2 linked regions of the Styela clava genome follow. The protein of the gene in region 1 purifies or fractionates together with the protein of each later gene. This does not show direct contact. Links are inferred from orthologs where the notes say so. Each region holds a gene or a part of one and is shown on either strand. Other genes may lie near its edges.

The links. Proteins that work in one complex are often made in the same cells at the same time.
Region 2: the proteins of gamma-tubulin complex component 2-like (region 1) and gamma-tubulin complex component 3 homolog fractionate together in Drosophila melanogaster (co-fractionation; 3 studies listed by BioGRID). This does not show direct contact. The link is inferred for Styela clava from reciprocal best matches to the Drosophila melanogaster genes Grip84 and Grip91.

Annotation. Positions count from the first base shown.
Region 1 is NC_135255.1:3,626,745-3,634,326, forward strand, and holds the start of gamma-tubulin complex component 2-like, read right to left. Parts: upstream 3,015-7,582; 5' UTR 2,959-3,014; coding exon 2,903-2,958; intron 2,325-2,902; coding exon 2,252-2,324; intron 2,167-2,251; coding exon 2,075-2,166; intron 1,552-2,074; coding exon 1,350-1,551; intron 326-1,349; coding exon 113-325; intron 1-112. Other genes in the region: alpha-L-fucosidase-like, read right to left, coding at 5,097-5,340, 5,759-5,949, 7,127-7,327.
Region 2 is NC_135254.1:11,604,687-11,612,571, reverse strand, and holds the start of gamma-tubulin complex component 3 homolog, read right to left. Parts: upstream 3,015-7,885; 5' UTR 2,997-3,014; coding exon 837-2,996; intron 567-836; coding exon 375-566; intron 1-374. Other genes in the region: deoxyribonuclease TATDN1-like, read right to left, coding at 3,569-4,492.

The DNA of each region.
Region 1 (7,582 bases):
TAGTGAAGTGTGTTTTTTGATATCATCAAAATGACTGGATAAAGAATCAGAATATTACTACAGACAGAAGAGAAGAATGTAATACAATAAAACTTTGAAGATTGAAACTCACTGGATGTTGAGTGCTTGAGTCATATACAAAATCAGCAGTTAAATATTTTCTGCTATTATCACCAGCAAGCCAGTATGGTGATGATGGAATAGGATGTTGACGAGGTCTTCTGGCGTTGTGCTGTTCACGCAGTGTTTTCCTGAATGACTCTGCTGAAGGAATCAAACCCAATGCAGATGATGGTCCCGTGGCTTTTTCTAGAGTACTTCGCAACTGTAGAAACAAAATTTGGCGTCGGAAAATTTTATCAAGGCAAATTTCTCCTTATGTAGGTGAGGATTAGGGCTGAAATTTGTCTAGATGAAATATTTTTCATGGGTGAATATTTCTGCAGAAGAAATTTTCCCAGCACCCAAACATGTTATGTCAGTTTTGAGATATAGGATATGATATATTTAGTTTAAGAAAAATTAATAAAAAGGATTGTATTCATAGGTATTTAGAATCAACCCTTATAATTGATACAATTTCTAATACTATGAATGAATTATTCAACTCAGTATCTCCGTATGATTTGTCATAAAATCATGGTTTCAAATTTCAATGAAAAAAGGTGCAATGTAGCAAATTTACAGTAATTTATTGGCAATTTAATTAATATATACCAATTCAACTTCCTGAAGAAAAAATATGATTCCAATTTTGCCTAATTTTATTTGAATTAAAATAAATTGGAAAATATTCGCATTCGTGTATTTTTTATCACACCATATCTAATTGAAGTTCTGAGTCAAGGATGTTCGAAACTACTAAACGAATATTTTAACAGATTCAAAATAATTGTATTCAATATTTTAAATTCTTGATTTTTGAATAATTCAGAATAATTAGGGTTAATTATGAGCGCTGTGTCCTGTGTGTCTGGCCGGTATTTTTGTGCAAACGATAAGCTGTAGCTAATAATTAACACATGTTCATTGTTCACTATAATTCTGGCTTTTCAAGTTCATGGACTAACGAGATGAAAATGTATTTTAGTCCGCGGAGGGTAGGGTTCTTGGAATTTTGATATTCGACATAGTTGACTAGAAAATGGCAGGAAATTATGATAAATTTGGAAACTATCGAAGCTTTTTTTCGGTCACACAAAACAACTGAGACCCAATACATTTAGACCCAATACATTTAATTCTACAATAGTAGATATTATGTTTTGTGAATGTGAATATTTATTCACCCCTATTCTGTTATATTCAAAATCAAATACCAACATTGGAATTTCCAAAATAAATTTCACCTCAGATATTTCTTTTGGGGTTAATTTTGATCCAGATGGTGGAAGAGTAATATTTGATGTACCAAGGATTGAAGATGGAGAAATAGGAATCATTTTAGCAGCTTCTCCTCTCTCCTCGGCATTTTTTGTCAAGGTGGCATGCAAACTTGGTTTGTTATTCAGGTTTGATAGAAAATGTATCATAGAATCCAAGTTGCGAACACTGAACGAAATAGATTTTTGAAAATAAACTCAAACATGAAAACAAAAAACTTTGTCATTTTAAATCTTGTACTGCCATAGGCAACAGCTGCATAAGCAGCTAGCATAGGTGACGATTTTGCGCAACATACAAAGTTGCTCGGAGTTAATTTTACCGAAACATAAATGGGTTTAAGTCACGAAGTGATGGGGCTGGTGGTCAAAGGTCAGACATTACACAGTGTATTCTCCGACTGGTTTATTTTGAAAATCTACATCATTACGAACAAACTGTTGCATTAATAATCATATTGCAATTGAATTATTATATTTTGACCATAAGGTAGGAGTGAAAAATCTGGAAATTTCCATTTGGAAATACCAGTATGTGGTAAAAGGGTTAAGAAACTAAAGGTTTTTAAATTTGCCTAGACCTATTCTACACCACATTTATCGCCAAATGTTAATATTTCAATGGCCGCTAGTCAAACACAACGGCGTTATAATATACAAATTTTGAAACGAAAAAGTGTTTATTAGCATACTTTTTGGACTTCAGTTCTTCATACTTTTGCAAGAATTCCTTGGGTTTGGAAGCTTTCTCACAAATTTTGACAGCAGAACTATGAGTGTTCACCTTCAATAAAAGTTATTATTCTCTTAAATGATTAGAACAGATTATAATTATCAGAATATACTTCAACACCATGAGTAATACATACTTGTGTTGTGACAAAAGGTGTTCGACTTTTCAGAAGAGTTTCAGTGTGTTCTTCAGCCTTCCCTTTGTCGACTCTGAATGATGATTAAACATTTAATATGAAAGATAGTTTAAAAATAATTTTCAACCGTAACACCATGATTTCATAAAGCATGAATATATATCTTCTTATTACTCTTTTTAGACACAAGATATTCTCAAATTACAAAACACAGTAGATTTATAATGGTGAATTTCCAATGTTCCATTCTAAGATTTTAATATGATGTTGTACAAAATCCATGGATTATAAATTAAATCATTTTTCTGATAAGATGGCATGGCATTATTATATGGCAAATCACGATCTCTGATCCAGCTACCAATCCATGTCATATAAGAGAATAGTATACAAGTTATTCGTCCCATATGCATGGATTTTACAGAAGAAGTCATAAACGACCAGCAGTTATTTATGTGAACCAACTTACGACAGCGGAGAGTCAAGCAATTCCATCACACTGAATTATACTCCATAGGACCTGTGAACTAATGCAGACTAATCAGAGGTGCAATTTCAAGCATGTTCTTAACGCTTATCATAATGTGCCAACCACTTGTGTTAGAGTAAGTTCAAAATTAAAATTTAAACAAATAATCAATACAGACTTACTTCAACAATTGTAAGAGTTGGTTGACATTATGATGAATTCGAAACTCTTCACTCATGTTGGAAATCAGATTTATATTGTTGTAATTTTATTTAAATCTAATGTATGATTTGAAAATATTAGAATGTGAAGGTTATCAAGTACACGTAAGGAACCAATATGAAATTTCCAGCAGAACTTGATTCAGACGATTCATATACAGTATACACAGAAAAAAATCAATGTATCAAAATTGAGGATCACATATTAGGAACTATTCAGAAAGAAGAAATGGCTGTAGTCAAACACTAATAAAATCTAAGGTTATCAGAAAATCATATTTTCGTTGGAAAGACTGAAAGGCAACAGTGGGTCTAGTGTCCGTAGTGTGGTGTAGTTTTAGTGGGTGTAGCGTAACGATATTTGCATATTTCTGACCCCCACCTGACGTCAACCAAAAATTCTATCACTGCGACAACAACAATCGCAAGAAAGATAGCCAGCTTCAGTGAGTTCATTGTCACAGACATCCTTACGGGCCATCGATGCTATATTTTGGCAAGCTTGATTATGTGATTGTGATGTCACAGTGACATAATTTTTGAATGACATAGTCAAGTAATAAGGTAAGGGTCAGGAATGATATATAAAAATTTTTATACCATTCACACTAGAAATACTGGTGGCACTAGACCCACAGCAGCCGTTCCATAGTTCAAGCTTCGTTCAGGATATTGTTTTGGGGATTTGCGGGTAAAAAATTTCATTTGGCTTTCGTGTCCATAGGCTGTATTTCAAATTCTTTAAAAAAATTCCATGATTACAGTTCATTTTTTTTGAAAATAGATGATGGGCAGAGTTAAATTGTAAGCAATATTCTGGTATATTATGTGGAAGTGCATGCATTCACTTCAATGAAAATTATATTCATGGTGGACTCATATTGTGTAATGATAGATATTAGAATACTGCAAATAATCAATATAAAATGCGGGGCATTTGGACCATGCATAAATGAACTAAAAATATCTGGAACAATATTTACGATAGATCCACATCAAGCAAACGTTGCATATAGTCACAAACATGGCTTCAAAATAGCAATGTCACATGCCCTCACTCAGAAATAAAGTAGACTGATCTCTGAGCGAAGGTACTACAGTAGGCCAGTAAAATGCCAACAGTTACTGAGACTATAAGGAATTATGGTGTTGAATAGCTCATTGGCAAACACAATATTAGGGTAATCAATCATAGAAAAGTACCGTATATATTTTAAATCACAAAATTTGGTCACTGCATTATCATTAAAGAAAATAACAAAATTATAAGACATGAAAAATTAAACTGCAAAATGAACTGAATTTGATAGTACTAATACCAAACATACAGCTCTCTTAAGTAATATAAGTAATTTTCATTTAAAAGACAAAAAAAAGACTTGATTATTCTCTGTCATCACTCATCGGTATAGTTTTAAGTCAGATTCGGCCATAGTTAGCATATCTAATGGCAGCAGTAGCAATGGTCATGTTGGTCATAATAATGCTTTAATAATTTATAATCACTGTACAGAACTTTTCTAATCAGGACGAGCTTGTGGCATAACAAATACCTTGCACAAATTTTGCATGAAATAGAACTTGAGCACTACAAACTGCGTTATAACATCAAAATTGAGTACAAAAGTTTTTCTCACGGCATGGTAAAGTAGCAGTATAGAGCATTGGGATGAGTTACGGTAATTACATGGCAGAATTGTTTTACTTGCTATCTTGATTTATTCAATTTGTTATTCAAAACTGATGAACTAAACCACATAACTTTTAAAAAACAATAGTGAAATAAAAACAAACTCACTATTCTAGAAATAATCATTTGTAGACTATTATTGAGAAAGTGCACCTTTTCCCACTAACAATAATGGATTTTGGTATATCAATATTACTTGCAAAATATAGCCATTTACATTATTGCCAGCAATACTACTAGATAGGTAGAATTCCACAATACATGATTACAAGTTATATAAAATGTACTGCTTCACCAATTGAAAATATTTTCACTTGAACTTTTTGATAGGATCAAAATGAAAAAACATGTTGAAAAACGAGCCCCAAGAAAATTTTCAGACCCAAAGATTCAGAAAAACTGGTATATTGCACAAAATGATGCAATTAATTAGGATTCAAAAAAACGAAGTACCGGTAATATATTCTACTGAAATCCAACAAGCTTCAGAACCCAAACCCATTTGTTGGGGATTTCAGTTGGCTTGATGCTGTTGAGGTTTACTGTAATACCATTTGACTTGATGGGCTCCCATGGCAAAGATATTGAAGTGCCTAGAAGAGAAACCTTTGAGGTTTCAGCTACGGGAATCGCAGAACCTAAAGTCAGAGATCCAGATTCCGGCCATGTAAAAAAAAATGCATACACTGTTCCTGGCTTTGCTGTATACCTGAGAAGGAAAAGATAAAGCAAAATTATTTTTTATTCAGGGGAATTTCCGTTTGCTCAAATTTGAAACAAATATACTAATTATATATTAGTACAGTGGGAAGCTAATAAAACAGCCTAATATTGCGAACCACGACCTCTCGTCCGGTTATCAGTCTATGGCGGGTACAGGAATAGTTAAATAGTTTCAGTTTTAGATGCATGGAACTGATAGTGGAAAATGCTATATTTGACCATTGGTTATGTAAACCACCCCGTGATGACGAGGAGAGCAGCAATACAGGGACACATAATTATTCCCCATGGGATTTGAACCTGCAAACCCCACGAGGTAATCGGAGGTGCGATGGCAAGCGCATTCCTAACGCATAATATGCATATTATGCTGAGCTGAAATTTACTTGTTACTAGTTACGTACCAAATTCCCTTAGACAGAGTATCATTCTGATGAGTCCAAGGTGTAGAACCATACACAGCTTCACCGATAACACCGAGCCATTCTCCCATCTGCCTCAATCTTTCCTGATAGAGAGCTGGAATAGTTCCTTCTTTAGTTGGTCCAACATTCATCAGCATGTTACCGCCACAACTGATAGTTGTCACAAAAGTCTATATGCCAAAATATGAGGTTAACTTCATATTCCCAGTGGTGTTAATCAAAGTCAAAATTTCAAACGAAAACTCAAAAAGGATTGAGTAGAATAATCACTACCTATAGACAATCATATAGTCGACTTTCATACACACAAGCTTTTGTTAGGAATAAATCGCTAAAAAAAATAGGTGCTTCTGTAGTATGTGCACCAAGATGACCAAGATGACCAAGATGACCAAGATGTTCAGGTAGTGCTCCATCTTGGTACAGATACTCTGGGAGCACCCCAAAATAAATCCTCAAAAGACCATTCTGGGAGACAACATATATTTTTAAACTTTTGAAATGTCAGCCAACTCATACACTGCTAAGTTAATTGAGTTAGGTTAGAAATAAAGAAGTTAATTGTTGTGGAGCAAAAAGATTCAAGTCACAGAGAAATGTGGTAGTTTGAAGAGAATAGCGTGTATGTACTTGCTCTTACTCAGGCAAAAAATAAAGAGGGTTAGTGTTAGTTTGATCTGAACAGGCATCTCCAAAGATTAAAGCACCTTTTTATCAGCTGCAGCTTCTCATTTATGGCCATATTACAAGGTTCTATACAAGCAGTCACTGATATCGGGCAATATGTGAAGATTTACTATTATTTGGATGGGCTGGGATCTTTCTGATTCGGCATTGTCTATTCAATTTATTATTTCCTGGGTGCATGGGGGCATGGCATTTGAACCAGAGATGGGTAATCTGATGTCAAAACAAAACAGTTAAGTCAACACTTTAAGCGTTAGGCCAATGTGCCACCCATACTATGTGTCTTTTCCCAATTTTGTTCCTTGTCATATCTCATTGAAGTAACAAGACACACAACATGGTAAGAAGTCAGCTTTGATTTTATTGGGTTATCTTGTCAATTATTGGGCGCTCCAGAAGCATGTGTAACAATATGGAGGAAACTAATTTTGTTTGCCTACTTTACATAAGTTGTGTACAGGGACTGATCACTATGGTCTATGGGCAAGGGGTGTATTCACTCGATCAACACAGACAGTCCCCGAACTCATGATAGAACTAAAATAAGAAAATCAGAATAAAATTATGGCCTAACCTTAACCTGGTACACATATTACAGGGAGATTGTATAGAGGGAAGAAGCGCAAACGACACACTCTCCCATAAACTATTCATTCGTACCTGGATAAGGTTCTCAATGGACAAATAATCAGAAAACTTTGCATTTCTTCTGAAACCCCAAGATAATCCATCAATTGTCATAGCATTTTCCCACTTCCTTGGTTGCAGAACACCAGGATTGTATCGATCATTGCAAGTGAAAAATCCACCGTGTTTACATGGGGTCAACATACCCCATCTGTCATTGGTTACAACAGTGCTCTGCACAGAAAAATTAGAAAAGCTTTGCATAAGACATCATAAACACTGGCACAGTGGTGGCGGAGAAGCATAGGGTTGCTATTGCGAGCATGGTTTTCACAAGATGCTCAAATTTTTATAAGAAAGGGGAACTGGACAAATTACCGTAGATATTTTTATTTGAGCATTGTAGTACATTGGCTTACTGGCCAAGTTTTTATTAGAAATACAGTTTGAGAAAAAATATGGTCATTGCTGAATTGAGCAAAACTTCAA
Region 2 (7,885 bases), on another chromosome or scaffold:
GTGCACCAGCACGTCTTAAATCTTTTTTAGATTTTGCCCCCTTTCCTGATTTTCCGTACAATTGTTTGTTTTGCCATGTATTGTTTTGTTGTATTGGAAAATCGAAATAAACACTTACTTACTTAGATATATATAAGGGCTGAAACAAAACTGGGTACTCCTGTAGTGTGAGTACTAGGCTAGGCCATAATTTGATTCCGATTTTCCTTATTTTAGTTCTATTACGAATTCAGGGACTTATTTGTGTTAGCCAAGTGAGTATATCTCACACCCAAAGATTTCAGTCTCTTTCCACAACTTGATGTAAAGTAGTGCATAATTAATTTTCCAAATGAAAAAACCAACCAATAAAAACCAATATAAAAGGATTCTACCTTTAAAGTCTCGAATAAGACAATCTGATCGAAAATTGAACGTAATTGCGTCAATAAATTCTGCGATCCTTGATCAAGTAAGCATCTCTTCATGATTGCTTCAAGAAACTGTCTGTGTGCAACAATTACTTCATCTAAGTCTTTAGCAGATTCAACCCTCTTCAGCAAGTCTGCCCATGAACACTCCAAAACCTAGATGACAAAAGAAAGTTAAAGTTGAACCAAATTAGGAATAAGGCACCTTTAAAAAAGAAACAGTTTGTCATAAAAACATCAGTATAACAATTTCGAACACTGTAAAAAATTTGTTGAGTGCAGTGGCCAAGTGGTTAAAACATTGAGCCTATGTCGACAATTGACATTACAGGTTATAGATCTTGATTGATGATTCCAATCCCAAATTCAAATGATGTGATAGAAACACATACACATAGCGCATGAAACGCAAAATAATTCCCATACCTCGAATGCAATATAGTACTGAATTTGGTGAACCAAATGAACCATCTGAGCAGCAAGAGTGTGGCACATGTGAAGTATTCCTCTAAGTTCAGGCAAGTGAGGAGAAAGTCTCATGGATTGTTCCATTGTATCTGTCCATATAGTAGCAAGATTGTGTTCCATGCGTTTTGCTCTCCAAAGAAAATTGAAGCATCTGAGATAAAGTAGCATAATATCAGGAGTGATAATTGTACTCAGTGGTTGATTGATGTGATAATCAAGACTGAAAACATCCCATCCAGTATCGCCTGGATTTATTTCCAGAAGACGTATGTTCAAACGAGACTGAACATCTTGATCTTCGAATTGTGCATTTGTGGCTCGGACAGCAGCTTCAACGAGGCCGTTCAGGTTATGTCTGTACAATTGACCAGCAGGTCTCGCTAAATCGTCATGCAACAAGTCTAGTAAATGTCGAACAAAATCACCCTGACCAAGTAAGAGGAATTTTCTCATTGCTCGAAGGTGGGTCAGAAGTTTGTATCTGTCGCTCAGGACATTCAAAAGGCAACGACTAGTGGCCTCATAAGCTTCGTCCACTCTCTCTTGCAACTCTGTGCCAAAATCTAACGTACTGTCCAAATGTGCATCTTCAGGTAACTGAAATTCTTGCTTGTTTCTGATATCAACTTCTGTACGATCACGACAAACCAGCCTAAGAAAATTCAAAGACTTTCCAACAAGTAAAATTTTTCTTGCTTGGCTGTCTGTCATAAATGATGGAACCATAGATTGTCTCAAGTGATACTTGTCATACCACAACCGATCGTTGTTGACGGTAGGATCCATTGCAACAAAAAATTCATGAAATGTGTCCTGTAGTTCACCATCATAAATCCATCGACTCAAAATGTAAAAAATTGGTTGCGTCGATATGACCAAAAGACGTTTTGTCAACAACCGCATGCTAACATCACCAGTTTGCATAAAAGCATGAATAGTGGATGCCAAGGCACCACCTTTCCTGTCCTTACAATTATCTACGAGCATAGCGACCCATTGCAGTCTCTCTTTAGGTTCAGATGTCCAATCCAAGAGTTTGTAAAAAGTTAGACGACTCCCAGCATCACCTGCAAAACCCTGATCTTCTTTGTATGATTGGGACTGTAATACAGATAAGAATCTGTAATACTCTTGCAACTCTTGAACCAATGCTGCACAAAAAGCCTGACCGACTAAGCCGAAAGCTAAATCCTTACTATGTTTATCAATATACTTTCTTATTCTGTTATGCAACCAGCCTAGTTCTGCAAGTTTATGAACCATTTGAGCAGTACGCTTATCGACAGTTGCTTTCGGAGTGATTCGAAATGCATCTTCTCTTGAACTCATTTTAATATTTTCACTTTCAGTGCCACGAAAAACATGCAAAAGTTCGCGAAGTAGAGTGCTGTCTGCAATTCTATTCACAGGAACTTTTGTCTTGTTGCTATGAGAAGATGATGATGAAACCCTTGACTTGTCCTGAACACTGGATTTATATTTTCCATCATTGCTTTGTACAGTTGTACTTGGATCCGTTTTCAATGTCAAATTGTATCCTGTAGAAGGTGTTATTCCCCATGCAAGACGTGAACCAAGAGACATACTTTGAAAATCGTTTGCAGGGGTATCAATGCTACTTGGCAAACCACTATTTGATGATCTTATAGTACCTTGACTATTAACAGTTCCAAATCCACTACTGGCATTCCCAGAGGAATGCAGACGGCTTGCTGGTGGAGTCAAATCCATAAGTGGTGTTGACGATATAGCAAGGCCCTGTCGAAAAAGCAACGTATTTTTTGTGTAATTTTTAGATTTATCTTTTGACAAACTCCTCAGAAGGTATAAGACAGACCAAAGGTTTTGTATTCGACCTGAAGCAGCAAGTCTTCTATAAAGATCACTTATTTTGGCAGCTTTTTCTTGCATTCCTCTTGTGGCCAAATCTCGTTTAATGCGATCAATAACAGTGTTTTCATTGCAGTTCGGTATCGGTTGGTCTCCAAGGTCCGATAGCATTCTTAATGCATATGCAGTCAACTTCTGGGAATGCCTTGGATTATCATCACTCAATAATACACACAATTCGTTAATTAGAACTTCAGGAGTTGGCTGATTTCGATTTTTCGTTGCCATTATTATTTAAAGATGATACTATATTAGAAAGTCATGTAACAAATTTAGGAAGCTGAAAATTGAGTTTTTGAATAAATTGATAAATGTAACCCAAACTATCCCCATTCGAACTACATTTTCATCTATATTTGTTTTGAAAATGGTTTCAAATACGATACTCAAAAAGAGTCTCAGTAACTAAGTATAATCGTCTAATTAGCCATGATCAGTGGCCAAATGAAAAGGATTGATAAATGTATCTAACTAAAATCAAAAAGCATCTGAGCAGAATTGCTGAAATAAACAATATATCACAAAATAGGCAAATATTATCATTTTAAAGATCACCTTCATATTGATAGAACTTTTAAAACAAGCGATACAAAAATCAGCTTCAAAAACATCAGGAAGTCTAATTGTTGTTGTCGAAGTAAATTCTAGTTTTTGCACACAAAAAATGTTTCTAGAATGTCAATTGTCAATATGAACTCTTGATTCTTTTTTGGTGCAATAATGAAACTTAAAAATAGAACTGTATGTGTCAAAATGCAAGATGATTTTTTCAGTGATAAATCTAGCTTTATATCCTAAAATCAGACATCGTTTTTCCTGTCAAAAAATAACTTTTTTGTATTTTCAAACATTGTGGTCGCCAGTTCCGTCAAATCCTCTTTTCTAGCTTCAGCCATTACTTCTAATACTTGAACAATATTGCACGGTTCATTGCGACCTTTTATACAATGGTCTTTTTCCCATTTCTTTTTCGTTGGAAACTTTGTTTTAATAAAAGAATGCCCAGCATGCGTTGGTTTTATTTCACACCACGGTGCATCAGTTTCAATCATAAGTTTGTCTGATGGGATAGAACAAATGGACATTAAATTTTCTTTTTGCTTTAAAGAGCATCCATTTATTCCTATAAACAAATTTAAGTCTATTATTGCTTTCGCTTCTTCAGGTGTGCCATCAAATGAATGAACAACACCTCCAGATATTCTATTACGATTCTGTCGCATTATATCCAAAAAATCATCATGTGCATTTCTGCAATGTAAAAACATTGGAAGGCCTGTATGTTCCGCCAAATCAAATTGTTTAACAAAATACTTCAACTGAGTTTCCTTAGGACAAAAATGCAAGCGATCATAATCTAACCCACACTCACCAATGGCTACTACTTCATCACCATTGCTAGAGGCAATATCAAATAATGATTTATAATATACTTCAGGACCATGTTCATCAAATTCTTGGCATCTGGTAGGATGGCATCCCACTGTTGTAAACAAAAATTGACTGGCTTTACATATTTCCAAGCTATCCGCGCAATCCTGAAGGCATCCACTAGTTACAATGATTTTATCCAATCCAACTTTTTTCGCTCGATCAATGACATCCTTAAAATCATCTTCATGCTTCTCTTTACCTCTATAAACTCCTCTAAACACAGGATCAGTCAAATTTGCTCCAATATCAATAAATTTGGCCATTCTATAAAGTCGTGTTAAGTTTTTCATTTACCGTTGTCCCGACATCCACAGATAAACATATCCGTCTCTATGAACGGTAATATCAGAATACTGTAATAGAGAGAGAGAATTTATTTTTTCGTCAAACCAGAAAACATATAATAGGTAAATATAAATGATAAGAAAAGTTTTCGGTAGATGACTGGGTGGTAACGATACAACCATTTAGTATCTGAGTCAGATACCACCCAATACACCCACTTACAATAGATAAATAGACACAGGTTCTGGTTTGTTCCACTCTTAGTTTATAAAAATCTCTATACACCGTGTACAAAAAACGTGATCTGATTAGAAAGAAGACGAATTTCGGAGTAATCTCAGAATCTAATCAGGACCGGGGTATATTTTTTTTAAATGAGTTTCCAATTCCTAAAGCAAATATTCCAAAAATTAAGAATTCATTACCAAATATATTAAGTTACAAGTATATAAATCCAAATATTCTATCTGTTATTGAAACCTGTTATTTAATCTAATATTCAATAATTTTAGCAGGGAGGCTGGAACAAACTAAATTACGATAATCCAAAATATATTTTTTGCCATGTCATTCTCCAATTTGTCAATCTATTAGACATTGGAAAGTGTATTAATCACAGTGAAATAGTTGATTCATTAGAGAGCTACTACATGAAAATAATAGGCTTATGATCCCCGATCATATGTATCTGAATTGCAATTCAGGGATAGCAGGGAAGGCAGATTGGTCATATCACGCCATGCTTGTCTCGATAATAATCTAAAGGAATCATGGCCGTTATGTAACCAGTTTTTTTGCTAAAAACTCTCTAATTCTATGGAAAAACTTTTTTTTCAGGAAATCTGATTATTAAAAAGCAATATCGAAAACAAAAAGTTACTTACCCTTCGACACAGTACGGTATATATATCAATTTCAATAGGAAACAACTCAAGGATATATCAGTATATAAAGGAAACATATCTGAAATGGCCATGTTAATATTATACTCAAATAGTATGATTCAACTAATGAAAATAGGATATAATCTGAATAATCGCATGCATGAATTTAGTGTGATCAGTTATTTCTGTATTTGGTGAAGGATTTCTAATAGTATTGGCTGAATGTGCAAAAATATGAATTTGGATTTTATTATCTGATGCAATAATACGATTTGGCTTCAACACCCCAGACATCCAGTCATACATCAAGTACACGTTTTTAATTCAAGTAGTATTTTAAAAAAATGTGATGCCACATGAGATTCCTGTCAGATTTAGCTTTAGGCACACAGATGTTCCATGTCATACGCGTTTATTGTAAAACGGTTGACTGTAAATAAAATGAAATAATCATTAATCAATAAACAATCACAAGATGAGGGCGGAAAGAAAATGCATAACCAGATAGTTAATAGAAGATAAACTTACATATTGTAACGCTCCAAAGGCCTAAATCGACAAGAAACTCACAGGTAACGTGAACGATAATGTTATTAGAATAAAAATAGCAACTAAATTTAGAAAGCAGTTAATAGGAATGCAATATAAAAATACATGAACAATTAAAGCAATAAATGATGACGATGGTCATATGGGGCCCCGGTTACGATACCCTCAACACAGCTCTACCTAACGAGACCAAATGCCACCCACACGCTAAGTCAGTAAAGCGGATAATGCGAAACCACTAACATCATAATAAGATTAAACAAGGACGTCCTTCGGCGCGTAAAGTCGGTATGCAAGAGCCACGCGTGACACGTCAGATGCAGTGAAGCCCGCGAAACTCGCGTCAAAACAGAAAAGCAATTATCGATAAAAATTAGCCAGTCGGAACACAAGGAAAAACAGCGTTCAAAATATAATCAACTGAAAAGAAACCTCGGGTCTAGTATAGTTTAGTACCACAAGTACTTCCAGTGGGCCTAGCATAACAAACTTTGCATATGTTATTGCTAACCCCCACCTAACTATGCCATCCAGAATTACGTCACTACGACGTCACCATCACGTCATAGGGCTTGCCGAAGTATAATTACGATCGCCCGAAATGGGATCTGCGCCGATCTCGGGTCTCGTGTAGTTTCGTACCTAACGTACATCTAGTGGGCGTAGCATAACAATTTTTTGATATGTCAATCCTAACCCCTATCTGATTACGCCAACCAAAAATTAAATCACTACGACATCACAATCACGTCATAGAGCTTGCCAAATATACGCCCGATCGACCGAAATGGCATTGGCGCCGACGATAAAGAACTGACTGACGTTATCGGTCTCTCTCCTATTGGAATTGTTTCGACGAGAAAACGTGAGAAATAACTGTTCGATTTCGGGTGCTCGGTTGCGCGTCTTGGATGGCAGTTCGTATAGTTTGAAGGGCTCTATTACGTCACTGTGACGTCGTAATGACGTAATTTTTGGATGGTGTAGTCAGGTGGGGGTTAGGATTGATACGTGAAAAAATTGTCATGCTACGCCCACTAGAAGTATGTTAGGTAAGAAACTACATGAGACCCGGCGATCTCTCTCCTATCGTGATCGTTGTGGCGAGAGAACGAAAGAAATAGCTTGCTCAATTTTGGGGGATACCGGTACGGTAGTCTGCGCGTTTTGGACGACCATCCGCATACTTTGGTGGGCCCTATTACGCCACTGTGACATCGAAATGACGTAATTTTTCGGTGATGTAGTCAGGTGGGGGTTAGGATTGACATATGCAAAAATTGTTGAGCCAGGCCAACTAGAAGTGCATGTGGCACTAAACTATACCGGTACCGGTACCTACCAGACCCGCCTACTGCTACGGTATACATCAGAATACCGGTAAGCGATATAACTTCAACGTTCGTAAATACCCATATACGCTGATACGGTAACTCATACCCAACGACTATCATACCCTCATACCACACCGCCATTTACAGATACCGGTACTGTTTGTAAATACCGCCGTTTCGCATTTACAGATATGGCAGGTAGGTACTGTTTGTAAATACCGCCATACACCAACGTGCCGTAACTTCTACATTCCCAACAACCGCTATGCACCACCATTTGTAAATATGATATTTGTGAATGTAAAAATTAGTGCGGAATTTACCAATATTCGTATATAGCGCTTATAGCTTATAATGTAGTCTATAACTTACATTGCAATTTTATTTCGATTTTAGAGATAGAATTACCGAAATAAACTTATCCTTTTTATACCGGTATTTACGAATGTAAAACTTGTAGGGGTTACAGCGCCAACCATTACCAAATGGTGGCGTACCGGTATAGCATCTTTGCGGTCTTACTACTTACCGAATACAACGCGAAACACCGCAAAACAGTGGGGAAACAGCGCGGAAGAGCGCAAAACAGAGGGAAACAGTGTGAAGCAGAAAAAAATTTTGCAATGAGTTC